Linked DNA regions of Diceros bicornis minor. The protein of the gene in region 4 purifies or fractionates together with the protein of the main gene of each other region. This does not show direct contact. Links are inferred from orthologs where the notes say so. Each region holds a gene or a part of one and is shown on either strand. Other genes may lie near its edges.

What was found.
Region 1: the proteins of DIS3L (region 4) and EXOSC3 purify together in Homo sapiens (affinity purification with mass spectrometry; 6 studies listed by BioGRID and IntAct, counting the BioPlex papers as one, with this or other methods). This does not show direct contact. The link is inferred for Diceros bicornis minor from reciprocal best matches to the Homo sapiens genes DIS3L and EXOSC3.
Region 2: the proteins of DIS3L (region 4) and EXOSC2 purify together in Homo sapiens (affinity purification with mass spectrometry; 5 studies listed by BioGRID and IntAct, with this or other methods). This does not show direct contact. The link is inferred for Diceros bicornis minor from reciprocal best matches to the Homo sapiens genes DIS3L and EXOSC2.
Region 3: the proteins of DIS3L (region 4) and HBS1L purify together in Homo sapiens (affinity purification with mass spectrometry; 5 studies listed by BioGRID and IntAct, with this or other methods). This does not show direct contact. The link is inferred for Diceros bicornis minor from reciprocal best matches to the Homo sapiens genes DIS3L and HBS1L.

The regions. Positions count from the first base shown.
Region 1 is NC_080767.1:6,211,823-6,219,386, reverse strand, and holds the start of EXOSC3 (exosome complex component RRP40), read right to left. Parts: upstream 3,017-7,564; 5' UTR 3,002-3,016; coding exon 2,669-3,001; intron 1,906-2,668; coding exon 1,756-1,905; intron 1-1,755. UniProt on the Homo sapiens protein: Non-catalytic component of the RNA exosome complex which has 3'->5' exoribonuclease activity and participates in a multitude of cellular RNA processing and degradation events.
Region 2 is NC_080767.1:38,101,047-38,108,795, reverse strand, and holds the start of EXOSC2 (exosome complex component RRP4), read right to left. Parts: upstream 3,010-7,749; 5' UTR 2,991-3,009; coding exon 2,869-2,990; intron 1,276-2,868; coding exon 1,174-1,275; intron 1-1,173. UniProt on the Homo sapiens protein: Non-catalytic component of the RNA exosome complex which has 3'->5' exoribonuclease activity and participates in a multitude of cellular RNA processing and degradation events.
Region 3 is NC_080762.1:3,272,914-3,280,591, reverse strand, and holds the start of HBS1L (HBS1-like protein), read right to left. Parts: upstream 3,015-7,678; 5' UTR 2,899-3,014; coding exon 2,856-2,898; intron 1-2,855. UniProt on the Homo sapiens protein: GTPase component of the Pelota-HBS1L complex, a complex that recognizes stalled ribosomes and triggers the No-Go Decay (NGD) pathway.
Region 4 is NC_080744.1:60,497,982-60,505,598, forward strand, and holds the start of DIS3L (DIS3-like exonuclease 1), read left to right. Parts: upstream 1-4,602; 5' UTR 4,603-4,658; coding exon 4,659-4,797; intron 4,798-6,183; coding exon 6,184-6,337; intron 6,338-7,617. UniProt on the Homo sapiens protein: Catalytic component of the RNA exosome complex which has 3'->5' exoribonuclease activity and participates in a multitude of cellular RNA processing and degradation events.

The DNA.
Region 1 (7,564 bases), on a different chromosome or scaffold from region 4:
ACCATACTAGTCAGTGCAGATGTAAAACATTAGCGTCATCACAGAAACCTCTCTCAGACAGCACTGCTCTAGGAATTACAGAAGATTGATGGATAAAAGAAGCCCCTGACATGCAAATTATTCGAAGCAAAATGGAACTGGTGGGGGCCCACCCAGTGGCGCAAGCGGTTAAGTGCGCACGCTCCGCTGCTGGCGGCCCGGGGTTCCCCGGTTCAGATCCCCAGCACGCACTGATGCACTGCTTGTTAGGCCATGCTGTGGCGGCGTCCCACATAAAGTGGAGGAAGACGCACATAGATGTTAGCTCAGGGCCAGTCTTCCTCAGCAAAAAGAGGAGGATTGGCATCAGATGTTAGTTCAGGGCTGATCTTCCTCACAAAAAAAAAAAAAAAATGGAACAATGGTAATTCACTGACAGTTCTCCATGCAAGATTTACTTAAAAACCTCAGAGTTGAACTTCAAAATGATGAAACTAAGGAAATGGAGAGTGAACTTGTTCTGTTAAGTATGTACCATTTGTTGGTGACTAAAGGAACTGGAGAGGAACAAAACATTCTCTGCCTTTCAGAAGCATTTGGTCTCAGAGCGCAGTGGGGATGTACATATAAACAACAAACTTCATTCAAGGCTGAATCCAGGAAGTGCTGGAGCAAAGTTATCAGAAAAGTGATTGAGGATTCGGGATGGTTTTACAGAGGTGGTGGTGTTTAGCCTGGGTCTCAAAAGATGAGCATGTGTTCCACAGGCTGAGAGGGGACAGAGTAGTCCAGATAGAGGGAACACCATGAGCAAAGGCACAAGGACAGGAAGTTATGAGTTCAGTAATGCTGGTAAATAGTTTGGTGTGGTTCAGGCATGGCTGCATAGAGGAAAAAATTATGGATGAGGGAAGACTTCTGGAGTATAATGCCAAAGAAATATGTAGGCTTTGAAGAAACCCTTTTTGTTTTTTTTGGAGGAAGGGGAGTGTGTGAGGCTGTCAGCTCTCAAAAGCCTGGTTGGAGGGGCAAATGTGTACAGGCAGGGATGTTAACGAGGAGGTCACTGACCGAGTCCAGTCAAGAGGTAGCTAAGGCCAGAACTTGTGAAATGGAGATACAGGGGTGGATATGCAGAAAATCAGAAACAGAAACAAAAAAGATCAGTAAGATTACGCAACTAAAGACACATGAGAGGTGAGTGAGACGGGGCAAAGAAACCACCAAGTTTCTGGCTTGGGTGGATAGGAAGAGTGTGGCTATGCTCCACGAAAAGCCCCAGTTGAAAACTTGAGGTAACAAGACTGCTCCTCTGTCAGCTCCAAGAAGGGATTGCTGGGAAACAGTGATGTGACTGACGTTGTGAGGTGCCAGACCCAGGACCTACAATCAGGATGGATGGTGGGCTGATATGGCAATTCTCACCACTTATTCCTCCTTCCTCCCTAAGCCTACGGCTTACTTCTTTGTCCCGTGGATACAGACATAACAGATAACGACGGAAAGAACAGATATAACCTTTCAACTCCGTAGAGATGAAACATCCCCCAATTTAAATAAGCAAATGTAAAATAAGTATGTGGCTCTGGTCCCAGAGCTGGAGCCTCGGAAGGAACTCCTGGAGCCTGGAGTGATTACACAGACACTGAGAGATCATACGACAAGACTGGGAAAAGAGGTCAAGCTTAGGAAACAATTCAGGTAGCCTCCTGAATATCTGAGTGTTTCTGAATATTTGGATGCTTTTCTTTTAAAACCAAATGCTCCCATCATTACCTGCACATTTGGTCTGTTTCTTTTAGTTGCACCTTCAAATGCCAAGTAAGACAAAGAAGCAGGCTCACTCCCTCCAACATCAACTTTGAATGTATCTCCAGATTTAGCTGTCACTATGCCAATCACATGGTCTCCTTTCACTGGGACATACTACAAAAGAAAACAGAACAAGAGAACAACCATAATGACAATCATTTCCAAGAGATCTTGGAAGATGTCTTCAGCAAGTCCTTAGTGATTATTTTATTATGTTTGTCATTAGAGATATTCCAAAAATATTTTGAAATCCAAGTTCATAAATTAATACAAATCTTACAACAAACTTGATCATACGCCATTTTCAACAAAAGAAAAACAATCACGTCATAAGCGCTCAGCTTTACAGCTTCAAACGGTCCGTATCCCATACCTCTTCAGTAACCTTATCAGGAAGGGCCCAGCCGCCACTTGCACATTAAGTCCAGTGACACAAGGCGTCCTCACAACCAAGGAAGGCCACTTCATTGTTACACAATTTTTCCTATATGAAAGTTCTCACTTATTTTAAGAGAAATTTAACTCCCTGTGACATCCACTCAGTGAGACTGGTTCTGCCCTCCGAGACCCCAAAAGATAAGCCAGGTGCCCCGACCTGTGGGATTTTGCAGACAATGACCATGTCTCACAGTCCTTATCCCGTTATACGCCAAGATTCCCAAACTCCTCTCTCTCCGGGTTGCCCTTCTCGGGCCACGTTCCCGCTGTTCACGGTCCCTCCACAGGAGATGCAGAGGTGGGCACAAGACGACGGGGCTCTAGGCCAGCCTTAACAGAGGTGGGCTCCAGGGCCGCCTCGCTGTCTCTTCCGAGAAGTCTTCCCAGAGCGGGGAGACCACCCGCACGGCCGTACCACCCCTCCGGAGCCCCAACTCACCCGTTTCTGCTGCGAGTCCACCCAGTACACGCCGCTGCCGCCGCCGCCGCCGCCGCCACCGGGCTCCTTGTGACGGAGGCGGCCGCACTTGGTGACCAGCAGGCGGTCGCCACAGCGCCGCAAGCCCGGGCCGCACACGACGCGCACCCGGGCGCGCGCCCCGGCATTCAGGCGCAGCGGCCGCTCCCCGGCGCTTCCCGGGCCGTCCGCGTCCTCCTGCTCCGGCAGCAGCAGCTCCTCACCCGGGAGCACCACCTGATCCAGCACGGCGCGCGCCGCCCGCGCCCGGCCACCCGCAGGGCACTCGGCCGCCACGGCCGCCGCCTCCGCCATACCGGACGCCACCACACACTTTCCGGCTTCCGCTTCCGCTCCGCGTCCAATCGCCAGCCCGCCCCAGCCCTTCCGTTTCCGGCAGTTGCGGTCTGTTGGACTTGAACCAACTACGTCTAAGAAGCCTGGCCGCGGCGGGCCGGTGGGCCCGCCGAGGAGGCCATGATTGTGTCTCAGCCGGCCGCCTGTCCTGCAGTCTGTCCGCGGGTCGCTCCGAGAAACACGCAGCTGGAGTCGATCGCAGAGCCTGCACTTGCCGTGCTCGGTCGCACAGTGGGATACCAGACGCTCTCACCTGTGGGTCCGTGGGAACCTTGGGAACTGAGCGGAGGGGGCCCTTCCTTCCGACTCCGCCCTCAAGGAAACGTATTTCTCTTCTTCAAAATAAAACCTTTTTGGTTGTTGCTAGAGAAGATATCTATTCACATTGTGGAAAACAGAATAATAAAAGAAAATAAAACGCATTAGTCTTCTCCCGTTTGTCTCCCTTGCTAGGCTGTCAGCGAGTTATTCTATGTAGCCCAGGGTCTGGCACCAAACAGGTAATTCCTGAAGGATGAGTGGATGTTAACATTTTGGTATGCATTTCTCCCTAGACTTTTTTTTCCCTGCAAACACACACATCACATGCGCATTTCCGCATAACTGAGCTACCCTACATGGCCCGGGAAAACTGAGTGCAGTTCAGTCCTTGCTGCTGCCTGCCCTGGAGCACACTTTAGTTGCCCGGGTGAGAAGCTGCCGAATTCCAGGTCCCCAGCACACAGCCAATCCTTGACTTTCAGGGCTCTTACTTGAAATCAGTTTCCTCTGTCAACTGGCACCTCCAACTGGCGTTTGGTCAGATCCCCCAGAGGGGTGAGAGCTCCTGGGGACTGGAGGGCCTGGCTCTGCCCATCTCTTTGAGGCATCTGCTCCCAACGTGAATTTTTAGATTTTTAGGATGTTTAAGACAGACCATCTCTAACATACCGTCCAAATTTGGAAAGATGCTGGCGAGCCAACTGAATGAGAGAATATTAAGAGGCCAACTGAAATGTAGCTTTTGTTTTGCAGTCAGATGGTTGTAGGAACTGCTCTTTGTCGGTTATCCTGGCAGGCGGAACTGTGTACATTCTTTGTCTCTCCTCCCCACTCCAACCCAGCTGTAGAAGGCCTGGAACCAGTAGGTATCGGGTGATCGCGGCTGGCCCAAGGCCATGCCCAGGGCGCTCAGTGACCTGGAGTGTGACCAGGCAGAGAGGGAGGTCGAGAAATGATCCCTGGGTTGTCCCTCACGCACCCCACGTCGGCAGAGGAGTCTGGAAAAAGAGACTTTCGGTCCAAATCTGGCTGAGGAGGCCTATCAAGTCCACCTCCCGGTGGGGGCGGCACGTGGGCATCGTGCGCCTCATTCCCAAGTCAACAGAAGGAACTAGAAGCCGAGAGTAGGGCAGTCGCTGGAGACCGGAAGCTCGGCGGGAGGGGCGGGTCGTCAGCCCCGCGCGGGGTCGCCGTCCCCGACACGCCTGGAGAGGCGGTCGGGCCTCCGCGCCGCGTGCCTTCGCGTGGGTGCGTCGCCGCCCCGGCGCCCCGCGGCCGCTGGTGAGCGGGAGCGCGCGGCCCGGCTGAGGCCGGCGGGCGGGCCGGGAGACGCGGAGGGCCCCCCGCGTGCCGGCCGGGGGAAGCCCGGCTCCGAGCCGCGGCCGGCCTTAGGGTCCGGTTGGGGCGCGGTTACGAAGTTCGCGTCCGAACGCGGACGGGCTGGAGCGCCGCGGGTGTGAAAGGGCCGGTGGAGATGGGCGCGCGGAGGCGGCCGTGCCGGGGTTCGGCGGCGCGCCTTCCTCGCGGCCGCGCGGGGGCTCCCGGCGGGGCGGCCGGGGGCTGAGGCCCACTCCTGATCCGGGCCGACTCTACCCTAGCGTAAGACAGTCTGGGGGCTTGCCGGGTGGGAGCCCGCGCAGGAGGCGCGGCGCTGCCCTCGACCGCCTCTGGCGCACACCTCCCGTTTCTCAGTATTTCCCTCGGGGGAAGGACCAGCTTTCCCTTCGGAAAGGTTGGACCGGACCCCGGCCTTCGGACTCTCTCCCCAAACTTCCTCTTTAGAAACCTTTGCTACTTGAGAAGGTGGAAAAGTGGCATCTCACGGTTGCTTTTCTTTATTGAGTAATGAAGTTGGACGGGTTTGTTTCCTTTCAATCGACGACACTAGTTGAGCATTTGCTCCGAGCCAGGAATTGAGCTGGGCAATCAGTTGAATCATGGTCCCTGCCCTACTGTCTCCGCATGAAGATACCAAGTGTTACGGTGGGTGCACCAATCTGATGAGGGTGTCAGCCCCGACTACAGAGGATGAAATGGTTCACTGTATGTGGGAGGAAGGTTGGAGTCAAGATAGGTGTCCCAAAGGAGGTAATATTTGAGTGAACCTTTAAAATTTTTTAGTTCACTGGTTTCTAACAGTTACAAATGAACTACATGCTGATTTGTATACAGAAATTAATAGTAAAAGAGTCCATAGAAGTGTTAATATCTTTATTCAAGTAAAGAATTTAAACGCAAATGCTCACAGTTACCACTGCACAAGTGAGAGTCTACTTGCTACAGATATTTTTAGTCACAAGTAATCATGGCTAATAAGAATTAGAGCTCGCACCCGAGGAAGAGCACCCTGCTGGCCAGGACCGATTGAGACCTTGTTGGAGAGGACAGGGCCACGGCTTGTTAAAGGGTGGGAGTCACTGGGAATCTGTGCCAGTGGAACTTGCTGGCACTTCTAGGGCGCTGGGGAAAGCTATTCCTGGGGAGGTGTCTCCTGGAAGGCTCTATTACAAAACTGCCTGATAGGGTGCTGGGGAAAACTGCTGGCTGCTGGGTGTTTCTGGGCACCAAGCAAAGCCTGAGAAGCTGCCATGCTGCAGGCGCATACCAGAGAGCACAATGGAGCCAGGAAGCAAAACCCATTCCTCCTGCAATGCCTCTGCAGGGCCTTCTACCTACAAAGATTGTCTTCATGAGAGACAGCAAAGGAAAGATATCTTAAAGGACCAGATCCATTTTCTCAGAGCAGGCAGTAAAGGGTGAGTTTAGAGCTGAGCAGCAATACATTGATAACTGGTCCAAGGTCTCATGAGGTTGTAAAGTCAACAAACTCATCAGTAACAGCAGTAAAGTGGAGTCTACTCAGGCCCAGATGGCTTCACTGATGAATTCTACCAAACATTTAAAGAATTAATACCCATTCTTCACAAACTCTTCCAAAAAAACAGAAGAGGAGGGTACACATCCCAACTCATTCTATGAGGTCATTATTGCCCTGATATCAAAACCAAAGATATCACAGGAAAAGGAAACTACAGATCAATATCTCTCATGCATATAAGACACAAAAATCCGCAACAAAATACTAGCAAGCTAAATCGCAACATATAAAAAGGATTATACAGTATGACCAAATGGGATTTTAATGCATCTGAAATCAATTAATATAATACACCATATCAATAGAATAAAGGACAAAAACCACATTATTATCTCAATAGATGCAGAAAAAGCATTTGAAAACGTCCAACACTGTGTCATGATAAAAACACTCAATAAACTAGCATTAGAAAGGAACCTCCTTAACCTAATAAAGGGCATCTATGAAAAACCCACAGCTAACATCATACTTAATGGTGAAAGACTGAAAGCTTTTTCCCTAAGATGAGGAACAAGACAAGGAAGTCTGCCCTCTCCACTTTATTCAACATTGTACTGGAGGGTCTATCACAGGCAGTTGGGATAGAAATGAAAAAGAAATGAAAGGTATCCAGATTGGAAAGGAAAAAGTAAAACTATCTCTAGTTGCAGGTGAAATGGTCTGGTATATAGAAAATCCTAAAGAATCCATAAAAAAAAAAAAAACTTTAGTTTAGAACTAACAAACAAGTTCAGCAAGGATGCCAGATTCAAGAACAATATACAGAAATCAATTGCATTTCTATACACTTGAAATGAACAACCAAAAAATGAAATTAAGACAACAGTTCCATTTACAATAGCATCAAAGAGAGTAAAACTTTTGGAAATAAATTTAACAAAAGAGATGCCAAACTTAAACTCTGGAAACTACAAAACATTGAAAGAAATTGAAGATCTAAATAATGGAAAAGGTACCTCATATTCATGGATCAGAAGATTTACTATGTTAAGATAATAATACTGCCTAAATTGATATACAGATTCAGTCAAAATCCCTACTGTCTTCATTGCAAAAATTGACAAATTTATCGTAAAATTCACATGGAAATTCAAAGGACCCAAAAGAGCCAAAAAAAATCCTGAAAAGGAACAAAGTTGGAGGACTTACACTTCTGATTTCAAATCTTACTTCCTACTTACAGTAATCAAGATAGTGTAGTACTGGCATAAGGATAGACATAGATCAATGGAATAGAATTGAGAATATAGAAGTAAACCATCACATTTGTGGTCAACTGATTTTTGACAGGGGTGCCAAGACAATTCAATGGGGAAGGAAAAATCGTTCAACAAATGTTGTTGGGACAACTGAATATCTACATGCAAACGAATGATGTTGGA
Region 2 (7,749 bases), on a different chromosome or scaffold from region 4:
ACACTCACCTCTTGGTGAGCTCATCCAACCTAATGGCTTTAAATACCACTCATGACTGTACAGTTCCCCTGAATTCCAGACGGCAGTGAACCACTGGCTACCCAACATCTCCATTTATGTGACTAAGACACATTTTCAAATGAAATAAACCTAAAACAAAGCTTTCCAGCAGCTCCCCGCCCTCCTCCACTGCAAACTGATCCTCTCCCAGTCATCACCATCTCAGTGAACGGCAACTCCATCCCTCCAGCTGCTCAAGCCAAAAACCTTGGAGTTCTTGGAGGAACCCTTGATTTCTCTCTCTCTCTCATGCTCCAGGACAAGTCCAGCAGCAGATCCTAGTGGCTCTACTTTCACCAGAAAATAAAAGGCATCCAAATCGGAAAGGAAGAAGTACAACTCTTTCTACTCATAAACATGGTCCTATATATAGAAAATCCCAAAGAATACAAAATCAAACACCCTTTTATAATAAAAACTCAGAACACAAAAGATATGCAGAATTAATCGCTATTCCCCACTTCTACTGCTACCACCTTAGTCCAAGCCACCATCACTTCAGATGATGAAAACAGTCCCCTAATCTGTCTCCCTGAGCCTGCGCCTGTCCCTCTTCAATCCCCCCACAGCAGCCAGAGTGATTTTCTTAAAACAGAAGTCAGATCATGCCCCTCTTCTGCTCCAGCCCCTCCGGTGGCTTCCCAGATTATACAAAGTGGATGTCAAAATGCTTATCATGGCTCCAAGGCAGGCCGACTGCCCACCTCAGCTCTCTGCCTGCATCTGCTCCTACTCTCCCCCTCACTCACTCTGTTCTGACCCCACTGGCTTCCTTTCTCGGGCTAACCTTTATTGAGTCCTTTTAGGTAGGAGGCCCAGTGCTAAGTACTTTACATGCACCTTTCCAATGAATTCTAATGAAAATCCTATAAGGTAGGTCATGATATTATCCTCATTTTGCAGAGGAGGGAACAAAGGTTTGGAGAGGTCACATAATGTGGGGAAACCTTTGAAGCCTGCACTTTCTACAGTCACCTATACATGTTCCAAATCGCAGACCTACAGAATGAGAAGGCAGACGGGGGTGGGGGTGGGAGGTGTGGTGTGGCAGAAAAAACCTGGTTGTGCGATATGGATGCCACAAGACAGAGAATACACACCTTTTGTTCTCACCTGGTTTTCAAAGCTTTCACACAGATCAACTTGTTCACTCTCTCCACAGATCCAGCCACAGACGCAATGAGCTTCTCTTCCCCCATGTAAGTCCCATGGCCGCTGTTGCAAGAGGAAGATACAAAGGATATCAGGGTAACACTTGAGATGACTTCTCCCGTCAAGAACAATGTATTCCTCAAACCTAACAGGCTCCTCCTGCCTTAAAGCCTAACTTTTGTGCTGGTTGCTCCCTCTGCCTACAACACTCCTTCTCTAGAGAGCTACAGGGACATCTCCCTCATCTTACTCAAGTCTACTCACATGTCACTTTCGCCATTAGGCCTTCCTCGACTACCCCATTTAAAATAGTCACCCACCCTGCTGCTACCACCCCCATCACATTCCCAACCACATTCCACTTACCCTGCTCGACTTTTAATTTTTTGCACTGCATTTAGCACCAAACATTCTGAATAATTCATTTGTTTGTGCTTATTGTTTATCATCTGTCTCTCCCTGTTAAACTCCACCAGGACAGAGACTCCCACTTTGTTCACTGTTGCACCCTAACCACACACAACATAAATATATGTTGAATGCATGAATGAAGAACTGAATCTTAGGATTTCCTAGGATCCAAGGGCCAGCCCGGTGGCGCAAGCGGTTCAGTGCGTGCACTCCGCTGTGGCGGCCCAGGGTTTGCAGGTTCGGATCCCAGGCGCGCACCAACGCACCGCTTGGCAAGCCATGCTGTGGCGGCGTCCCATATAAAGTGGAGGAAGATGGACATGGATGTTAGCCCACGGCCAGTCTTCCTCAGCAAAAAGAGGAGGATTGGCAGATGTTAGCTCAGGGCTGATCTTCCTCAAAAAAAAAAAAAGATTTCCTAGGATCTAGTAACCTCAAACCAAAAGGTTAAAGGGCAATGCTGTAAATGCAGTAGCCCTCCTACATGTACATGTGTACCCCCCACAAAAAAGGCTGAAATAACACTTGTGTTTATCTACGATGGTGATATGATGGTGAGTTTTGCTTCTTTTCTTAATTATTACCTCATTTAATCCTCATGACCCTATCAAATAGTTACTGTTCTTATCATTTTCTTCCAGACAAGGAAACTGACCTGGGAGAGGTAATACAGCTAATAACAGGTGACAGCAGGTCTGGAACCCCAACTGTCCGACGCAGAGCTGCCCTCTTAACTACAACATATTGTACTGCTTTCAGATTTAAAGTTGTCTGTTTGGGTGCATGGAGCACAATATATTTTTGCCCTAAACCCAAACATTACTGATTCCAAAACCGAGCACCCGGCTAGGAGATGACGCCGAGAGGACAGGAGGTCGAGTCAGGAAAGCCCACCGTCCCCTCAGATAGCTGAAAACTATTAAGAGGCCCTGCCCCTAACCCTCCCCGGTTTCCAGGTCTCCAACGAGGAAGGCTCAGAGAAATGGACCTCAGGCAGAGGACCCAGGAGTCACGGCCACCAGAGATCAGGAGAGGACGGTTTCAGGAGGCCGATGGGGATACACAAGATGCAGGGACTAGAAGCCCGAGACCCGGAAACGAGGCAACTGGGATGCTCAGATGTGCCCTGGGTCCCGCAGGGCCTTAGACGCAAGGGGACAGCGGCCCGGGTTTCGGCCAGCAGGCCACGTGCAGAGAGTCCTGCAGCCGCCCCTTGTGGCCCCGCGTCCCCAAGTTCCCACGTACCGCATGAAGCCCGTGTCCGTGGTGATCGTGTCCCCCGGCACCACCAGGTGTTTCTTACTCTCGCGGCCCAGGCTCTCGCTAAGAGGCTTCCGAGCCACAGGCAGCCTCATCTCCATCGCCATCTTGGCGCCAAAGACTCGCGCAGGCGCAGCCAGGCCGCAGCCGCGAGATCCGGCCCTGCAATTCCCGGCCGTCTCAGGGAGGGGCGCGCGGGGCGGGGCCTCAGAGCAGCCGCCAATGGGAACTCACGGTCTGGCGGCCATGCTGACTATTGTCAACCATTAGGTTAACATGAAGGGAAGAAGGGAGCCGAGTTGCCATTTTTACTATTGGCAAGGCTGCACGTGTGGAATAAAATCTCGGGTTGTATACCGTTTGACTTTTTACCAAAACTCTCTGGTACTCATCATTCCATTTATTGCTTACCAGGGTTAGAGATAATTGAGAAATGGACCTCTGAGTTTCCTTCCAACTCTAAGCTGCTAAAATCTGATGTTTTTGTATGAGAGAGCTCAGAACGATCAGGAGGTGGGATCTACAGAAAACGCTATTTGGACAGAAAGAAGAGGCCTTTTTCTTACTGTTCCTAGTAGCCCCAGTATACTACGTAACAGCCGCCCCGTGGGTGCTGGTTCCTTCTTTCATAATGACTTCTTTGGAGTGAGGTGATTTACCCTAACATTTCTTTTGAAAAAACAAGAAACCTTTAAACGTTACAAGGCAGGTATATTTGGTAGGGAAGACAAGTGCACAGATAGTACAAAGATCCTGGCTTATATTTCCTTCACTTATATATTACTTACATACTGGGAATTCAGCGCTTGCTGTGTGCCAGGCTCAGTTTTGAGGATACAGCGTGGACAGAGAGATGTATATGTGGTTTTTTTTCTCGGTGTCCTGTTTAACATAGGAGCATTTCTGTCGTCTCATCTCCCCGCCTCCCACTAGCCTCTCCCTCACCCTTGTCCTGCATGGTTTGTAGTATTCACAACAAACTGAGTTTCAACCTCAGGAAATTGGAAATGATAATTCTTTATGCACGAGGACCCTAAAGAGGATTAAATGAAATAAGATGCATCAGCCCCACATGCTGTGTTCAGTAAATCAGGCCTGCTGCCTCCATCAGACCAATTGTTTGATAAATCTCCAAATTGAGTGAATTTCTTTCACCTAAGCAAGGCTTACTACTACACTTGTCAAGAAATCCAACCCGTGCGGCAGTCGATGATATAAATTCTAGAGCTCCATAGGTCATCCCGTCAGTGGGCAGACCAAACACTTGCCCTCTTCCCTGCCTGCAGCAAGATCCTAGAGCCAAGAAAGTGTGAGAAGGGTCCATCTGTTGAGTCCAGCCTCGGCCATAAGAGGGCAGTGGTGTCCTTTGAGCCAGCATAGCCCAGTCAGCTAGGGAGCTGGGCCTAGGAGTGCTCCTAGACCGAGTGGGGTGTAGTCTTGACATCATCCAGTCTCATCCCAAGAGGGATGGACGTAACCTTAGCCTCTCCCATTCTCACAGCACTCACGTTTACAAGCCTGTCACAACGTTGAGATTATGGATGCTCTCTTAGTGTGGTAGCAGATTCAGTGTCTGGCCAGAGCTCATTCCCTGGTTCACAGACCACTGTCTTCTCACTGGGTCCTCACATGGTGGGAGGAGTGAGGGAGCTCTCTGGGGTCTCTTTTATAAGGGCACTAATCCCATTCATGAAGGCTCCCTTTCATGACCTAATCACCTCCCAAAGCCCCCACCTCCTAATACCATCACCTTAGGGGTTAGGATTTCAACATATGAATTTGGGGGGACATAAACATTCAGTCCATTGCAGATATCTTTTTATAGAGGAGGAAATCGAGGCCCTCAAGGACTGGAATTCACACAGCACTTGGTGGCAGGGCCAGTGTTCCTTCCGACTGCACCTGCTGTACCCCAGACCCTGCACCCTTGCCTACACACTTCCGGGGGGCCTGGTACTTTGCTGAGTGCTTTACAAACATTGTTGTAGTTATCCCTCACACTCGGCCCATCTTGGAGGTAGGCATTGGTATTCCTGACAATCATTTGGGGCCACCGAGTCCCAACAACAGACCTGCAGCTGGGACTAGAACCCAAGACTGCAGAGCCCCCTCTGGTGCTCCTGTCTCTGCATCGCACTTGCCTCTTCACACCCCGGAGACAAGCAGCCACCCGGAAACAGAGTGCACATCCCAGAGGGGCTTGTTAGAAACAGATTCCTGAGCCCAGACTTAGCCGTTGAGGTTCTACAAAGGTGGGGTCCCAGAAGTCTCTGAGTGTGTGTTTTAACTCCGTGAGTGATTTTAATGGCCAGTCGGGTCTCACATTCATGGATTCCCCCACATCCATCTACCTCCCCATCGGTGCATCTCCAGGGCCACACTCCAAGCCGATCAACGTCATCCCTTACCTGGGTATCACCTAGTAGCTCGTCTCCCTAATTCTACATTTGCCTCCTACCATCCAATCTCCATATAGCAGCCAGAGGGAGCTTTAAAAAACAGATCAGATTAAACCATTTCCTTGCTTAGAACATTCTGGCAGCTTCCCTTTACACTAAGAATAAAATCCAAACTCATCATTGTGGCCCTGTCCATCTCTGACCTCACTTGCCTCCTAACCACTCCCTTACTCACTATGCTGCAGCCAGATGCGCTGGTCTCTTCTGAGTTCCGCATGCAAAGCTTGTCACCACCCCCAGGATCACTGCGCTTTTGGCGAGCTCTGCATGGAATTCTCTTCCCCCAGGTCTTTGTGTGGCTGGCTGCTTCTCCTCACTCAGATCTCAGCTCAAATATCACCTCCTCAGAGAAGCCTTCCCTGACCACCTGATCTGGAATAACTCTCAGTCCCTTTTTTATCACTTGATCCTGTTTTACTTCTTGTCACTGAATTTTCTTGTTTGCTCGTTTTTCGCAGTCTTTCTCCACGAGAACGTGAGTGCTCTCAGAACAGGGACTTTATCTGTTTTGTTCAGTGTGCATCAGTGCTGAGAACTGAGTCTGGCATATAGAGGGCAGCCATACAGTATTTGTTGAAAAGATAAGATAGATTTACAAAATATGTATTTGCTTGTTTGTTTGCTCCATCTGTCTCCCCCGAGGGATATGAACCCCGCAAATGCCCAGACCTTGTCTGTTTTGTTCACAGCCCAGTCCTAGGACTGTCTGGATACATAGCAGGCCCTTGTCTTAACCACGTCCTCTATTTTCTGTGATCTGATGCTTGGATATCTTAGACTTTGCTGATCCTGAAAGGACTGCTTCTCCCAGGGTTAGCTAGTTCCTAGATAGTTAACAACTGGCCCAGGAGTGTGCTTTTCATGTGCAAACTACCCAGCCCAGAGCACACACCCCCAACCACCTCCTTTATGGGGCTCTCACACCCCGGGCCACTATCCACCTGCCCTCATCACCCCAGGGCCAGGTACCAGACAACTAGGGACAGCCCCTATGCCTCAGAGCTCATTGAAATTATTCAAACTAGCCAATCCTAAGCCTGCTCACCCTGCCTCACCCATTCCTTCCTGTGGAAACCACAATAAAGGCTTCTTCCCACATTCTGTCCTTGCTCCCTCTGCCTCCTGATCAAGCCCAGTGCTTCCCCATGTGTCCCTGCAGGGTGTGCTGTGCGTCCTGTTTCTAGCGAATCGTGAACATAACAAACTTCTCCTTTTGTAGCAGTCATTTCCATGTTTGCATGTCTTACCATCCCTGATGAAAACAAATCCCAGGTACCCTTGGAACAGCACCCAATAAATATTTGTTGAATGAATGAATGAACTTATTCAATAAGCGTCTGCAGTTGAACAACAGCACCACTGTGTGCTGTGGGGGCCACAGAGCTGCATCACTGGCTGCCCAGCCATCAAGGGGCTCAGTCAGGAGTTCAGGGATGGGGCGTGGGGGAGGAAAGAAAAGCCCCCCGGACAGAAGTGGTATTTGAGTGAGCCTTGAGGTGAAGGAAGTGTCCACACTGGGCAGTTGGATGGAGGGAGACAGAGGAACTCCAAGTCAAGGTGACTGTCAACTTATGCTACATCTTTTTTTTTTTTTTTGAGAGGACGATCAGCCCTGAGCTAACATCCGTGCTAATCCTCCTCTTTTTGCTGAGGAAGACTGGCTCTGAGCTAACATCTATTGCCAATCCTCCTCCTTTTTTTCCCCCAAAGCCCCAGTAGATAGTTGTATGTCATAGTTGCACATCTTTCCAGTTGCTGTATGTGGGACGCGGCCTCAGCATGGCCGGAGAAGCAGTGCGTCGGTGCGCGCCTGGGATCCAAACCGGGGCCGCCAGTAGTGGAGCGCGCGCACTTAACCGCTAAGCCATGGGGCCGGCCCAAAGTATCAATTTAAAAAGCCAATTCGCCTGTTATTTTATTCTCAAAACAAGTTTATTCGGGAATAGCCAAAAGAACTGCAATTCGGGATGTGCATGCTACAGGGAACCACGGGCAAATCCAGAGAACAAAGGAGGGGAGCTGCTTTTATAGAGAAATAGGGGGAGTCAGGAGGGACTGTTCTAAAGGAAAGTCTATTGGGGGAAAGTAACAGTTCTAGGCAGCAACGGCTTCTCATTGGCTGGGCTGTTGCCAGGTGGGGAGAGAAATCTTCCTTCAGTAGTAAAGTAGTTGTACTTCCTGTAGGAGATGAGAGCCTCCATCTCTTCCTGTTGGGGTGTAATTGACATGTATGATAGGGCATGAGAGTGCCTCCTACAGGCCTTCCCAACTCCAATTTAGTTAAGGTTTCTTTTCTTTTCTTTTTTGTGAGGAAGATCAGCCCTGAGCTAACATCCATACAAATCCTCCTCTTTTTTTGCTGAGGAAGAACGGCCCTGAGCTAACATCTATTGCCAATCCTCCTCCT
Region 3 (7,678 bases), on a different chromosome or scaffold from region 4:
AAATGCTCTTTAACCAGATTTTCATTAGGCTGTTTCCTTCCCCTAGTTAAGGTTCCAGCTCAAAGGACACCTGTATGCAGAAGTCTTCCCTGACCACCCCTGCCACTTTTACTCTCTAGCACACTCCTCCAACTGACTGTCTTCAAAGCACTGTACCTGCTTCACTCCCTGAGACTCTAAGCTCCTTCAGGGTAAGACACTGTGTAGCCAACTACCTGGCACATAGCTGGCACAAATTAATACATATTTTATTATAAATTAATGAATCAAACAATTTAAAACTAAAAACCCACAAAGAACATAAATATGTTTACATAAATGTATTTATTCATTCAACAAATACTACCATGGACAATTAGAGACATTTAGGGTACAACAGTGAGTGACAGGTACATTCCCAGATCCCTACAAACCTAAAATGTAACCAGGAACACAGAAGAGAAAACGGGCAATTACAAAACCACACGACAAGTGCCTGACATGAGAGATACAGAGCTACTGGGAACACACATATGAACAACAAAAATAGAATGGGGAGTGAGGTGGCTAGGGAAAAACTCCCGGGAATATAATATTTAAAACAATCCCAAAGGATGGCTAGCTAATTTCTGAGGGTATTCATGCAGCAGGAACAGCATATTCAAAGGCGGAGACCAAATGTATACAGCAAAGAAAAATTAGCTAAATACCACTATTGGATAAAAGTGTGTAACATCCAATAAATTATTAGATCACAATCCCAATTTAATAACAATTTATTAGCAAATAAGCCATTCACAAAAAATATTTTTAGATATTAATGACAAAATCTTTTTTACTAGGTCAGTTTTTCAATACTGAAATTGACCCTAAAAGCGCTACACTATAAAAAGATGAAGAGAATTCTTTCCTAGGATTTTTGTAAAGTGGTTCTTTTCCCCGACAAAAATTCTGGAGTATTTACTGCATGTGAAGCATCGGAGTAAATATCAACATAAAGCATAGACCTTGCCTTCCTGGCACTTTTACACCAGTAGCTGAGGTACTCACGTGAAGTACTACCCAAGTTACAGAGAAGGACAGTGCGCGAGTTAAACAGAGGAACCAATCGGTTTTGGAGCACAAACTCTCTCTAATCAGTTATATGACTTTTGAGAATTTTTAAATTATTATTCTCAGAGTACAAGCGCAAGCTTAACTGGGAAGAAAAGAAAGAAACTGGACTCTTAAAGTAAGTATAACTTTTATTCGCAGGAAAAGGGGATGGACCTCTTATGCTACAAGGAACAGCTTGGTTATGATGTCATCAATTGTTCCAAAGACACATGACACCACGACAACCTGACCTGGGGTTGCCAAGAAGAGAAGATATGTAGCACTCACTCCCTCAGGCCAAGCACCTCTTCTCCAGGAAGCTTTCCTTCACATAGAAGGCCTGCTTAAACTCCCCCAACCCACTCTGAATAAGTGGCTCCCATAGCACTGTGTGAGTCCTTTCTGCAGCATCTCATACTCTAATCATCTCCCTCTTAAGATTCCCTCAAACATCTTACCATCGGTCCCCAAGCTTGGAACAGTACTCTAAGCACTCAGTTAATGAAGAATAAGCACTCAATTAATGTTGGTTGAGGAAATGATAAATATTTATTTAAAAAATGAATAAGTAGTAATTAGGCCTATTCACGTTTTTTGTATCATACGTGCAAAAATATGTCGTGGGCTAAAGTCATTTCTCAGGTAATAACCGTCACATGCAATACTTACCTCCACTGCAATACTTAGGGCGGCCTGCATTCTGAAGTGAACACCAGGAACCTAACGTGTGCCAGGATGACTGGGTCCCAGGCTCGAAACGTAGCACAGGGTGTTAGCTACCCTCGAGGGTGAGAGCACACTGATGTTCTAGAATAATCTGCTGGGAGTGTCAATAATAACCACCAACATATTAAGCACACTACATGCTCTGCACTTTACAAAGCAATAGGTCTTCACTCCTCTGCTGCACTCATTCATATACGTTTATAATTTTAGTTTGTATGATGCTTGGTGATGCCTATAATTATCCACTGCATAGAGATGCTATGCTTGTCCTAAACATTCTAACTCCTTGTAAACGCCTAGAGAACATTCATATACATGTTTTTTCCTTTTATTTCATTTTTTAAAATCAGTAAGTCCTTTTCAAAGCCCCCTTCTAGTACCGCTTTTTTTTTCCATTTCAAAATACATTTACTTTGAGAATCATCAACCAAGAACTGAGTATACCCCTCAGATCATCTGATCGACTTATTCCTTGGGCCTTTTTAATATCTATCTTTTCTACCGTCTCCTAAGTTTCCAATTTAACTTGAAATTCACAGAACGTAAGTTAATCAGTTAGATGAAGCCAGGTTCTGCACTAAACGTGTGAACAAACACAAAAGACTGACACGTAGCTCTAACAGGCACAGCAGAACAGATGAATGCAACCTTTAAGACACCCCGTGTTTTACAAACAAGGAACATATGGCACTTCTGAAATGGGGGTCGGGGAGGAGGAGCTCGACGCAGGCGGCGCGCCCCGACCCGGGAGGGCAGGGGAGGCAGGAGGTGACGACGCTTACGTGCAGGAGTCCCCGGGGCCGACCTCCCACACGTCGTCCCGCACGCCGCCGGGCAGCGCGGCCCCCGCCCCAAACAGGACCGATCCCCGAGGGCAGAATCACCGCCCAAACAATGCCACCGCCGGCATCGGGGTCCCGCCGTTTCCTCCAGCCGAGCCTCCTCTGACTCCTGGCCCCTCCGACGGGACGCTCCCAGAGCCCAGGGGATGCCAACGGGCAGGGAGCCCGGCCGGGACGGCGACAGTGACCTCCCCGCATGACCCTGCCACCTACCTTCGTCGTAGTTATAGCCTCGGACATTCCGATGCCGGGCCATGGCGGCGGAGAGGGCGTTCGCCACAGCCCCTGACGAAACACCCGCTCAGACACGGACAAGGCGCCAACTGCGGCCTGGAGAACACCGATACGCCATCTTGGCTTCCGGCAGGCCTCTGCGCCGAGCGCCTGCGCACGCGCGACGTCTTACCTGCGCACGCGCGACGGCAACCTCTAGGGGTCACCCGCCTCCCCCGGGACGCATGCGCACTCACGCGCACGGAGATTGCGTTTCGGCGTGGCCCCGCCCACAGACTGCGTGACTGACAGGAGTTTCAAAGGGGCGGAATTGCACCGCCCACAATTTGTTGTTTTGGAGCAAATTTACGAGCCGGATCCTTTGATCTATGCCCGTGTTCCAGATTATTTTCCGAGTTTAGTTTCTGATAATGTAGTGAAAAAGCTGACTGTGTGCTGAATAAGAGCAGGGACCTTGTCTCATCCAACTTACTTTCGTCTTTGAGGTCTGCTTAGGGACGTAAGCATTAACTAACTTGTGTACATTTGTTTTAAGAATCAGTCCAAGCGTTAGAGAGGAAGAAAGGACCCTTTTTAAGTGGGTATATATGGTTAAATTGAGAATCTGGCTGCAGTAGGTCACCGTGCTTTCGTGTGATTCTTAGTTGCACGTATGTGCTCCTCTTGCACTAATGCCTCCAGTAAACGACCATCTGCCCTTGGCCGTGTAAACGGTTAGCAGCAGCAGCATGAAGAAGGATTCATTGAGCCTTCTGAACACACGATCATGTGTAACATAATAAGAGTATTAAATATAGCTTTTTGGACACAGTACTGGCCTTGGATGGTAGTGATGAACGTTGATGAATAAATCTATAACCGACTATTAAATGTCCTCACTTCTTAGAACACAAAGTGAATGATGCCATGTAAAAAACCAACCTCATTATCATACTAAACAAAGTATATTTCAGTTTTAGGTTGTGTTTTTGAAATGGTGATAACTTTACATCAAAGGCAAATCTCAAATTCTAGAAATGAATTAAAAGCTTAATCAGCTTTCTATTATCCATAATAGAAAGAAATGAGAATAATACACATTCAATTCATATCTTTGTTTTGAAATGTAATTTATGCATGCATTTGATTGTCTGACTACCGAATGTTTGTTCTTATCTTTGCTATTTAATGTATCTCCAAGACAAAATTTTACACAAAAATAGATAGTTGCTAATTTTACATTGCTTATGTGTTTTCTTTATTATACGGTTTCAGATAATTTTTATGTTGCAGCCTATTTCTTTGTCTGTAAAGTGGAGACAGTAATAGTATCTAACTCATGAAGTTGTGAATAATAAATTAATTTATCCACGTAAGAGGATTTCACACAGATCTTAGTACGTGCTTTAAAATATTAGATGTTATAAAAATACAAATGGCAGCTTCCAGCCCACTGTGACTGCCAATTACAAGCTTCAGTATAACTCAATGAGGTGTGAAGTGGATGAGTTATAAATTGACTACATAAACAAAGTACTATAGGAGCAATGAGGAAGAAAACATTACTTCTGCCTGAGGGATAGTATATAATTTGCCTCTGGGTCATCAGTAATGCATTCCCTTAAAATTCTAAATACTTGGGAGCCCTGATTGCATCTCAAGCAAGAAGGCCTCAATAGCAAAGCCTTCGCTGACTTCCTCAGCAAGTGTTAGGGATCTTATCCTCTGCCCCAGAGCTCTTCAGATGTGGCTATAAGTTTTGTACCATGGTTTGATGGAAAGACCATGACTTTGGAATCACACAAAGCAGTTCTGCTGCTTTCAGTTTGTGAATGTCTTTGGGCTCAATTTCTTCATCTGTAAAATGGATATAAAAAGACATGTCTTCTGTTTTGTGAAAAGTAAATGAAGTGATGGATGTAAAAACAGTAGCTGTTACATAACAGGTACCATAAGGGAGGAAAAATTCTCTACCCTCTTTGAGTCTCCAACTGGGTCCAAGAATTAAACTGACACAAGACAGTTTAACAGGAGAAAAAAAATATAACTGTAATAAATTTTTACTCATATATGGGAGACTTCACAAGAGAATGAAGACCCAAAGAAGAGACCAGAGCCAAAATCTCTTATACCTTTCAGACAAAGAAACAATCAATTTGTGAAGAATTGACTAGACGATGGGGTTTGGGCTATGAGTAGTAAATTGTGGGGAAGTGACTAGGAGATATGGGGGGTGGGGAGAGGGCGGCAAAAAAAGTGGAATATAAGCGTTATTTCAGAAAATTTGTACAGATCCATTTCAGCATCAATTCCCAGTCTCTGATGATCAGGATGCTCTCTCCTCCTGGTACAGGGAAGGGCACCTTTCTCAGGGGAAATTTTGTGGCCTGTTTTAGATAGAAAGGGGAGGTCAGAGAGTCCTTCCTGAATCTGCTGTTTCTCAAGTTCCTCCAGCTCAGAATAATCAATGTGATATTTGAGGTGACATGCTCTGAACTCCTTCAGTACTCAATAAATGCTAGTTGTCTACCCCACTAATTGGAAAGCTTTATCTTTGTTTCTCCAGCCTTCTGTCTGGCACTTTGAATGTTTGCTGAATGAATTAATGAATTAAAAAAGATAATATAGCCTCTTGCTATGAGATATTTAACAAATGCCATAAAAAATTATACAAATAATTTTTACATCAATTTGTAAAAAAATTATAAATGAAAGTAGCATAACTACATTACTGAAAAGTTTTAACACCTTTATGGAGGAATCATTGACTCCACATATCTAAAGTATATAGTTTGATATGTTTTGATGTATTCACCAGTGATACCATCAGCCCAATCGAGATTATGAACGTATCCAGATTCCCGAAAGTTTCCTCAAGTACCTTTATAATCTCTTCCTCCTGCCCCTTGCTATCTCCTCATCCTGGCCCCAGGCAGCAACTGATCACCTTTCTGTCACTATAGATTAGTTTGTATTTTCTAAAATTTTATAGCAAGGAAATCATATAATGTGTGTTCTTTTTTATCTGGCGTCATTCACTCAGCATAATGATTTTGATATTCATATGTGCAGGGGCTTGAGTCAATAGTTCATTCCTTTTTATTGCAGAGGAGAATTCCATTGTGGGAATATAACCACAATTTGTTTTTCCATTCACCTATTGATAAGATATTTGGGTTGTTTTTAATTTTGGCTTCTACAAATAAGGTTGCTATGATTACTCATGTACAACTCTTTGTATAGACGTAAACTTTGATTTCTTTTGGGTAAGTACCTAGGAGTGGGATGGCCAGATGATATGATGGCTTATCTTTAGCTTTTTAAGAAACTACCAAATTGTTTTCCAAAGTGGTTGTAACATTTTGTGTTCCTGCCATCAGTGTAGTTCCATCTTTTCCACATCCTCACCATCACCTGGTGTGGTCTAAAGATACTGTGCTTGTTTGATGTTTCTGTATCCTCTTTGGTGAAGTGTCTGAATCTTTTTGTCACTTTTTAATGGGGTGTCTTTTCTTATTTTTTACTTTGTATCCTGAATACAATTTCTTTGTCTGATATATAATTTGGAAATATTTCTCCCAGTTTGTAACTGGTCTTTTTGTTTTCTTAATAGCAGAAGTTTTTATTTTTCATGAAGTCCAGTTTATCAATTTTTTTTATAATGGATTGTGCTATTGATTTTATAGCTAAGAAATCTTTGCCTAACCCAAGGTCACAAAAATTTTCTCCCATTTTTTAAGTAAATTTTACAGTATTGGGCTTCACGTTTAGATTTATGATCCATTTTAAGTTGATTTTTGTATATGGCATATGGTTTGGATCAAAGTTCATTTTTTACATCTGTATATTCAATTGTTCCAGCACCATTGTTGAAAAGAAGGTCGTTTCCCCACTGAATTGCATCTGCATCTTTAGAAAAAATCAGTTGTCCATACGTGTGTGATGTATTTCTGGACTCTCCATTCTGTTCCATTGATCTACTGCTCTATTGATCTAGCTTGACACCAATACTTTGCTGTCATGATTGTTGTAACTTCATAAATCTTAAAATTAGGTAGTGTTAATCCTCCAACTTGTTCTTTTTTTCAAAGTTCTTTTAGCTGTTTACGTCCTTGGCATTTCCATTTGAATTTTAAAGTGAGGTTATTAGATATTCCTGCTAGGAGTATCAACAAATATTCCTGCTAGGAGTTTGACTAGTATTTTGTTGAATCTGTAGATCATTTAGGGGAAAACTGACACTTCAACATTGCTACAAACATGTAATCTTTCAACATATGCACATCATATGTCTCTCCGTTTATATGGGTCTTTAATTGCTCTCAATAATGCTTTCTAGTTTTCAGTGATGGGCTTGAACAACTTTTGGAGATTTAATTCTAATTATTCCATATTTTTTTTTACTCTATTGTAAATATTTTTTAAAATGTCAAGGTAAAAGTATATAATTAAACTATTAAAATTAATGTGTTAACTAGTACCATCAACACAAAAAATTGTACTTATATATATAATAGGAACAAACAGTAGGGAAATAAAAATTAAAAGTAATTAGCTTTGTTAGTATAAAAAATATCATCAAATACCCAAGATAAATAAGGAAAGATTTATAAGGCCTAAACTGAAATTAGAAAACACTACCAAGAGAAATAAAGACAATCACATTAAGTGAAGAGATATTCCATGTTCATGGACTGAAAGAGTCACTATTATTGTGTTAAATGAAGAGATGGCAATTCTTCCCAATTAATCTATATTCGATGTTATCTTAGTCAAACCCTAGGAGTTTTTTGGTAAAAATTGACAGTCAGATTCTGTAATTT
Region 4 (7,617 bases):
CACCCTCCTGCCAACCGCCCCCCCCCCAAAATCAATGAAACAGTGCCCCTTAGTGGTAGAAGGACAAAATTACTGGTAGGTCAACAGTATAGCAAAAATCTTGCTGAGATATGAATTGGTAAGTACGAAATAATTTCTCTCTAAAAAATTAGAAAGGGTTAAGCAGAACGTTTTAGAGTAATCATTGCAAAGTGGATTATGGGGATTCACAGGGTGTTTAGAAAGCCAAAAGGGAGCCATTGTATCTGCTGGGAAAAGTGAAAATCAAGGATTAACAGCCTTTAACATATAGGAAATTAAATTATCCCTAATACAAGTAGCAGAGGAATCTCAGCAGCCGTTTGTCCTCCAATGACTCTTCCACTGAGGTGGAGCACAAATGAAAGTAAGCGGATTCTTCAGAGAAATGGGATAATTTTAGATACTTACATGACCCTTTAGAATCATTGACTGGTTAATACCAATACTCAGCACCATCTGTCCTGCTAGCTGTCTTTTATAGTGGAAATCACCAAGGCTCATGGAAGTTAGGAAAGTAGTAGGGTCAATATTTGACTGTCATTGTTTCCAATTCCCTAAACCTAAAATAACTGGGGTCATCCTAGCTCCATCATATAGAATGTACCGCATGCTGTAACTCTTGCTGTTCTCTAGCTGAAAGGTGGCATGGCTATGTCATTACTGCCTGGGCTCTGTAGCCAAAACCATACATTGAGTGTGTGGCCTACTCAGTCCTTTCTTACTTCAGTTTCCTGCCTGTAAAATGGAGTTGGTAACAGCATCACAGTCAAGGCATTGTTTTGAGGATTAAATGAGAAAACACAGAAAAGTGCTTAGAGCAGTGAGTGGCACCTAGTAAAAGTTTGAGAAACATTAACTGTAATTAGCTGATACTACATAGATTGACAAGTTCTTCAAAAAGTTGCAAACTTTGGATTATATTTAAAGCCTTCTAGGATGCATACCAGCTCTCAACAACAGTAAATGACTTGGGAGGAGTAGACTTCAGATGCAAACTGAGCTTCAATGTTTTTACTTGGCACAATTCAGTATTGTTGGAATGTGTTGCAACAAGCATGTTGTACTATTGTAATTTTAAGTAAATAAATAGTGACAGAATATTTCAAAGCTTGCTTCAGTAATCCACTCTAGCCCTTGCAGTTCACCTTCCAGAATTTCTTTTATACATTTAACCTCCCTGTCATCTTAGCCCTTTGTAAAGATGCCCCACCCTCTCTAGGCTAACCTTTTGATGAGACCTTTTGATTTTAATCCAGTGGTTGCTGATGTCTGCACTCCCAGAGTGCATCTGCAAAAAGAGATGCAGCAAATGCTACAAACTCCTGCAGTGTAAGCACGCTGGTGCTCAGCCTGAAGAAGACTGCAGTCATGCACCAGGGAAACCGAGCCACAATCAGAGATTTCCATCTTCAACACAGGGCTGAAAGCTGTCACAGCATTCTGCTATCTGAGCACCAGGCTGCCCATCTGCACTTGGATTGACAAGGAAAGGGAAAACTGAAAAGAGAAGCAAGCTGCCAAGCATCCCTCCCAGTGTGGCACTGCTGTGGCACCATAGCCCAGACCAAACTAGAGCACCGAATACCACTGCTGCTCTCCCACCTCCTAGAGCACTGTACAATTTAGAACTGCTGTAGAATCCTCAAGCAGCTTCATCACGACATTTAATAACTAGAGAGGGGTTTTGAAACAAATAGGCACCCCTTCAGCAAGTTTCTTAATCTCCCTTGTACAGTGGGGATGTATTGATTAAGGTAATGCTAGCTGCTAAAACAAAAGTTTATTTCCCCCTTACAAGAGTCCCCTGTGGATGCTCCTGGTTGGGGGAGGCAGGGCTCTGCTCTGCACAGTCCGTCTGGGACCCAAGTTGATTGGGGGAGGGGGCGTGCTGTCTTCAGTGCTGCCTTCCAAGAGCCCCTGGGCTTTGGCATCCAGCCAGTGGAACAGGAAAGAGGAGTGCTCACGGGAGGTTTTTATGGGCCAGGCCTGGAAATGGTACGATTACATTCTGTGGCCACACCCATCTATGTGCAAAGGGAGGCTGGGAAATGTGATTCATCTATGTGCCCAGAGAAAAAGAGGACATGGATTCAGTGATCAGAGAGCCAGTCTCTGGCACAAGAAATGACATATTTACCTTGAGGGACTGTGATGAGGATTAAAGATGATGCGGTGATGTATGCTTGGCTCATTGGGGCTATTGGGGAGGGGGCCGAGGATGTAAAGAGGTGAGCAGTAGAATGCCCAAGCAGGGACTGGATAGCGGGCTGAGCTGGAGTAGTCACAGGTACAAGGGTGATGGCAGAGCAGACCCACTTAGGGCTAAGGGGTTTGAGTTGGGAGCATTCAGGTAGACACAAATGCTGCTCATCAAAGGGTTTCGGCACTGTGCCTTCAGGCTATGAGGTAGAAATGCACTTCCTGCCCCCGTCTGCCACCTCCCCACTCCCTACTCTCTCTCTCTCTCTTTCTCTCTCTCTCATCCCTCTATCCCCATTGGATGTGTGGTCATGTGACTAGTTCCGGCCAACAGGCAGAAGTGACATGTACCACTTCTGGACTGAGCTTTTAATTGCTCGCGTAAGGCTGTCTAGAGGGCTCTTTGCCCTCTGCCAATGAACAGCAAACAGTATCGCAGAGACAACTGGCTCCGTCACCCTGGGTCCTGGAGAAGCACAACACAAAACGGAGCCTCTAGGCACCCAGGCAACATCTTGTTGTTTTAAGGCACTGGGATTTTTGAAGTTGTATATTACTGCAGCATAACCTAGTTTATTCTGATTGATATAGAAACCTTTTTTTCAGGCAAGAGGCATCAGATGGTCTGTGAACAAACAAACCAACAGAAAGGCATTCTTGTCCATTTTAGATCATCACTTCCAAGAACTAAGGGATCATGCTTTTAAGAACATAATTTGTACATTATTGCCTCAATGCAAGCAAAGGAAGTGCTTGATGGGCCTTGGATTATTTTAAATACTGATAAAATCAACTTTCAATAGAGCCCTAGACACACTCTCTTCCTTAAAAGATCATTAGTCCCAATTTAGAGAAAGATTAAAGCTACCAAATGCTAAAGAGAAATGTTAAGGACATATAATCAGAAGTAAAAGAAAAATGAAAATGGATGAGCTTTGGACGGAATTGTGGGCAGCTGTCTGAAGCACTTCTATGTAGGGCACAAATTTGGCTACTTTCCCTTCCTCTGGGATCTCTAGAACTGACCTCCTCAATTAGGGAGGCCTCCTGCACTGCCGGTTGCCTTGTGGGCCCTCCTAACGCTCTGGCCTGTGGACCAGCACTGTAATGTTTTCCTAACTTGTGCAATTCCGTCTGGGATCTCACTCATATCATCCCACACTACAGATAACCTGACCAAAAATACTCCGTCCATGACTTTGTAATATGAGACCATGACTTTGTAATATGTTCCTCTAGAGTAAAGGAAGTGATCCACCAGGAGACCCTAGTTTTGCTAACTTCAGGGTAAGAGGAAGCTTTGATGTTCCCAGTCAGCTGGTAGAGCTGCCTTAACCAGAGCTCAACAAGTAGACTATAAACTCCTTAGATACAAGAGCTATATTTTATTCATCTAACAGCCCAGTAATTAGTTAAGAGCCTGCTTTGGATTCAGCCAGATTCTGGCTTGAATATTGATTCCACCACTTAATAACTGGGTAACCCTGGCCACTTAACCTCCCTAATCCAGTGTCATCATCTGTAAAATGGGGATAATAATGTCTAACTCCATTGACTTGTAGAAATTAAATGGGGCACTTGTATGTAAAGCTTCTGGTGCAGCTCAAAAGTCTTTGCTGAGTGCTTTGAAGAACAGTGGCTTCTATCCAACCCAAAGTGTGTGATCTCAGAAGAAACTGTATGAGTCTCCATCAACTTTAAAGGAGAATTCCTTTGCCAGAAGCTGCAAATGCTATAAAGTTGGGGTTGAATGGATAGTGTTTACCTCAAGGGAAGGGACTGGTTTTCATTTTATCTGCATTATTTGAATTTTTGTATGGATTAAAAATACATGGAATTAAAAATAAATACAACGTATTTAAGGGAAAAAAAATGTTGTGTTGGCAGGGTTGCTGGCTTATTTACTGAATCTTTTGGCTCCTTCAGGGACAGCAAGAGCAACCAACAGAAAACACTAATAATTACCCATATTAGAACAACAGCCCCGTTCCCATATGGACCTGGGGGTAGAAACAAAGTATAATAATCCTTTATAGTTGCACCAAATCTTCTTTCCCAAGACTTTACACTAGCTTCCATATATTATCTTTATCTCCCATAGGTCTTTGGGGTGGTTTCCATCCCTCCCTGCCCCCAAGCAACTGTAGGAGGGGAGAAACTGAGGCAGGTTGGGGGAGAGGGCCTCCTCCTGCTCTCAACCCCGGGACCCAGGCGGTTACCGCCGTTTCAGCCCCCCGCTCCCCCGGAGCGCCCAGGCAGCTGGCAGGAGGGCCGGGCCCGGCCGGAGCCGCGCGTAGACCAGGCCGGCCAGGCCCAGGGGGCGGGCCCGGAGCCTCGGCCTCGCCTGCGCCGGCGCCGCGCCGCGCCCGCCGCTTCCCGGCCGCTCGCTCGGGGCGGCCTCTCGGGGCCCGGAGCTCTGCCGGGCGAGCGCCGCCACCATGCTGCAGAAGCGGGAGAAAGTGCTGCTCCTGAGGACCTTCCAGGGCCGGACGCTGCGGATCGTGCGGGAGCATTACCTGCGGCCCAGCGTGCCCTGCAACAGCCCGCTCTGCCCGCAGCCCGCCGCCTGCCGCAACGGTCAGGGGCCCGGCGGGAGCCAGGGCGGCCGGGCGGGAGCGAGGGGGGCCGGGCGGGAGCGAGGGGAGCCGAGGCGGGAGTGAGGGGAGCGGAGGGCGGCCGGGCGGGAGCGAGGGGGGCCGAGGCCGGGCGGGAGCGAGGGGAGCGGAGGGCGGCGGGGCCGGGGCCGAGCGCCCGCCGTGAGGAGGAAGGGCACGGCCTGGAGGCGGAGCGCGAGGCCGCGGAGGCGCCCGCCCGCAGGCATTACCTCCGGCCCGACTGCGGGTCAGGAGCGAGGGGCCGGCGGCTTCAGAGCCGCAGAGACGCCCCTCGTCCGCTGCTTCTGGGCTCCCCACACGGGACTCCCCGACTGCTCCGCTCCATAACATGGAAGGGCCGGGAGACGGACGCCCCCCTAGCCCCGAGGCCCGGTGATTTGCCTTCCGAGGGGCTTGTGGGCTCAGGAACCTGCCCCCTCTTGCGCCCCAGGACCGTGTGGTGGTGACTGGGGAGTTCCTGAGCTGTTGGCCCCGCAGTGAGAGGCGGGGCGCGAGCCGGCGGCGTCATTTTACGTTGCTTTGCTCCGCACAAATATTCTGACCTGCCGGCACCGATGCCTCAGACGTTTATCCAGTGGACACCCTCTTCACTGCAGGATTTGTGAATAATCTGGGCCCTCGTTGTACAGGAAGGTCGTGGGGAAGTTAGATTTGGGACTGCTGTGCATTAGACCTTCCCTACTTGGTTTCTAGGCTGCAGGGTGACCAGTTTATCGAGGAAGATTACTGGTTCTCTTCCCTCTGGTGGGAGATGAGCGTGGGGGTCCTTTTCAGCGAATATTTGGAATCCTCAGCTTATGTTAAGGTGAACGTTTTAGTTACAGCTTGGCTAACCAGCTCTCTGAGACACGGGCAGGGTGGAAACGCTACCGCTGCCCTTGCTTGCACTGAGCATCTTTTCTGGTCAATTCAGTCTTTTTGGTCTTTGGAGACTCCTGAGCATGTTCACCAACTTGAGACAGAGACTTGAAATAGCTGGGCGAAACAAGTGGTTAACATGTATATTTTGGGGTGCCCCATTTGAATGTGCGTATGTCAGTGAGTTAACGCAGAAATATTCAGGTTGTTCTGAAGATTTGCTTGTTTGTTTTAAAAAATCAGTCATCTCCTTCTTCCCTGGCAACACCGTAAACAACATTGAGCTTTTATTTATCGCAGCTTCGGAAAAATGACGGTGCTGAATCTACCTGAACTTTGTGCCTCTACCAAAGTAGATTTATCTTGTCTTTAAAAAACTTCACCGTGTAGTAAGATTGGAAGTGATTTTGCACACTAGGGCACCATAACGTTGAAATAATCCAGGTTTGCAAATGTTGTCTAATCTCTTACGTTTTGAATTATGCTTCAGATGGGAAACTCTTGTCTAGTGATGTGACTCATTACGTGATCCCAGATTGGAAAATTGTTCAAGATTACCTGGAGATCCTTGAGTTTCCTGAATTAAAGGGAATTATTTTCATGCAAACGGCTTGTCAAGCTGTGCAGCATCAAAGAGGCCGGAGGTATCTGGTTTTCATTATTTATTTATTTATTTATGGCATAGATTTTTGTTTCCCCCTTAGAAAAAGCCCCTTGTTGGATGGAGAGGGGAGGAATTCATTACTTTGTCAGAAGAGACTTTTTGAACTAATTTGGTATTCTCTTTGCTAGTGAGGAATGCAGTAACATTATTTTATATTTCTGCTTCAACACCTGGCCAAAAGATCTGACTGTAGATCAATAAACTGCAGTGTCCCCAGTATGTGGGTATTTAAGATTCTTGGCTTTTGGTTTGCATTTTTATAGTAGCCGAGTTATTGCTGATTTCTTGTTGATAACGCATTTTACGTAATCTTATTTATAGACATATTGTTTCAGAAGCTTACTTTTTTTTCCCTTGGGAAAAAGAGTACTTTATTTTTAAATTTTAGACTCCTTTATTGTGGATGCAAATTGTACTTGTAGTGATTTAGTCATTGAAACCAGAATTAACTTGTTTTATTTTTAGATTACCAGTATAACTACCAACCATAGTAGTTGTATTTGCTAAACAAAAGATTTCTGATTGAAATGAGTCTAAAATGCTTGCCTTGTGCCTAAATGAATAACAGTTGTTCACCTTTTAAACAAGTACAGTCGCCCCTCGGTATCAGTGGGGGATTGGTTCCAGGACCACGGAACCAATCCAAACTGTGGATCAAAAACATAGTACCTACATGTAAAATCCGCGGTTGGTTGAATCCGCGGATGCGGAACCTGCGGATACGGAGGGCCGACTGTACTCTAAAAAATGGTTCTGCTTCATTTAACATTGGGAAAGATTTATGATTTGAACTTAAAGACTGTATGAAAACAGCATATTAGAATTATATATTCAACCTCTTAACACCCCAGGTTATTTAAACAACAGAAACTATGTGTTCATTCTTTTTTAAATGTTGTGGTTTTTTAAGGTAGCAAAAGATGAAGTATGTTTATTTGTATATGAAAATGATAAGTTGTCCTTATTATGTGCTCAGTTCAAAAAAATGTGCGTTTTTCTAGATTGTGTGCAGGTTTTTCAGGTAGAATATTTTTAAATGAGCTTGAAGTTGATTTTGTTCAGACACAAAGATATAGATGTTTATACACATCCAGGTTTAAATGCTGCTCCAAATGTCGTATTTCAATTTCTGCTACTAAAATCAATTTGTTGTTATCATTCTGATTGCTAACACACTGCCGAGCCTTTTCAACTTCTGTTTTCTAAAATATTTTTAATATTAAGGAGTGTTTTAAAAGCCAGTTCCTGGGACATTCAAAA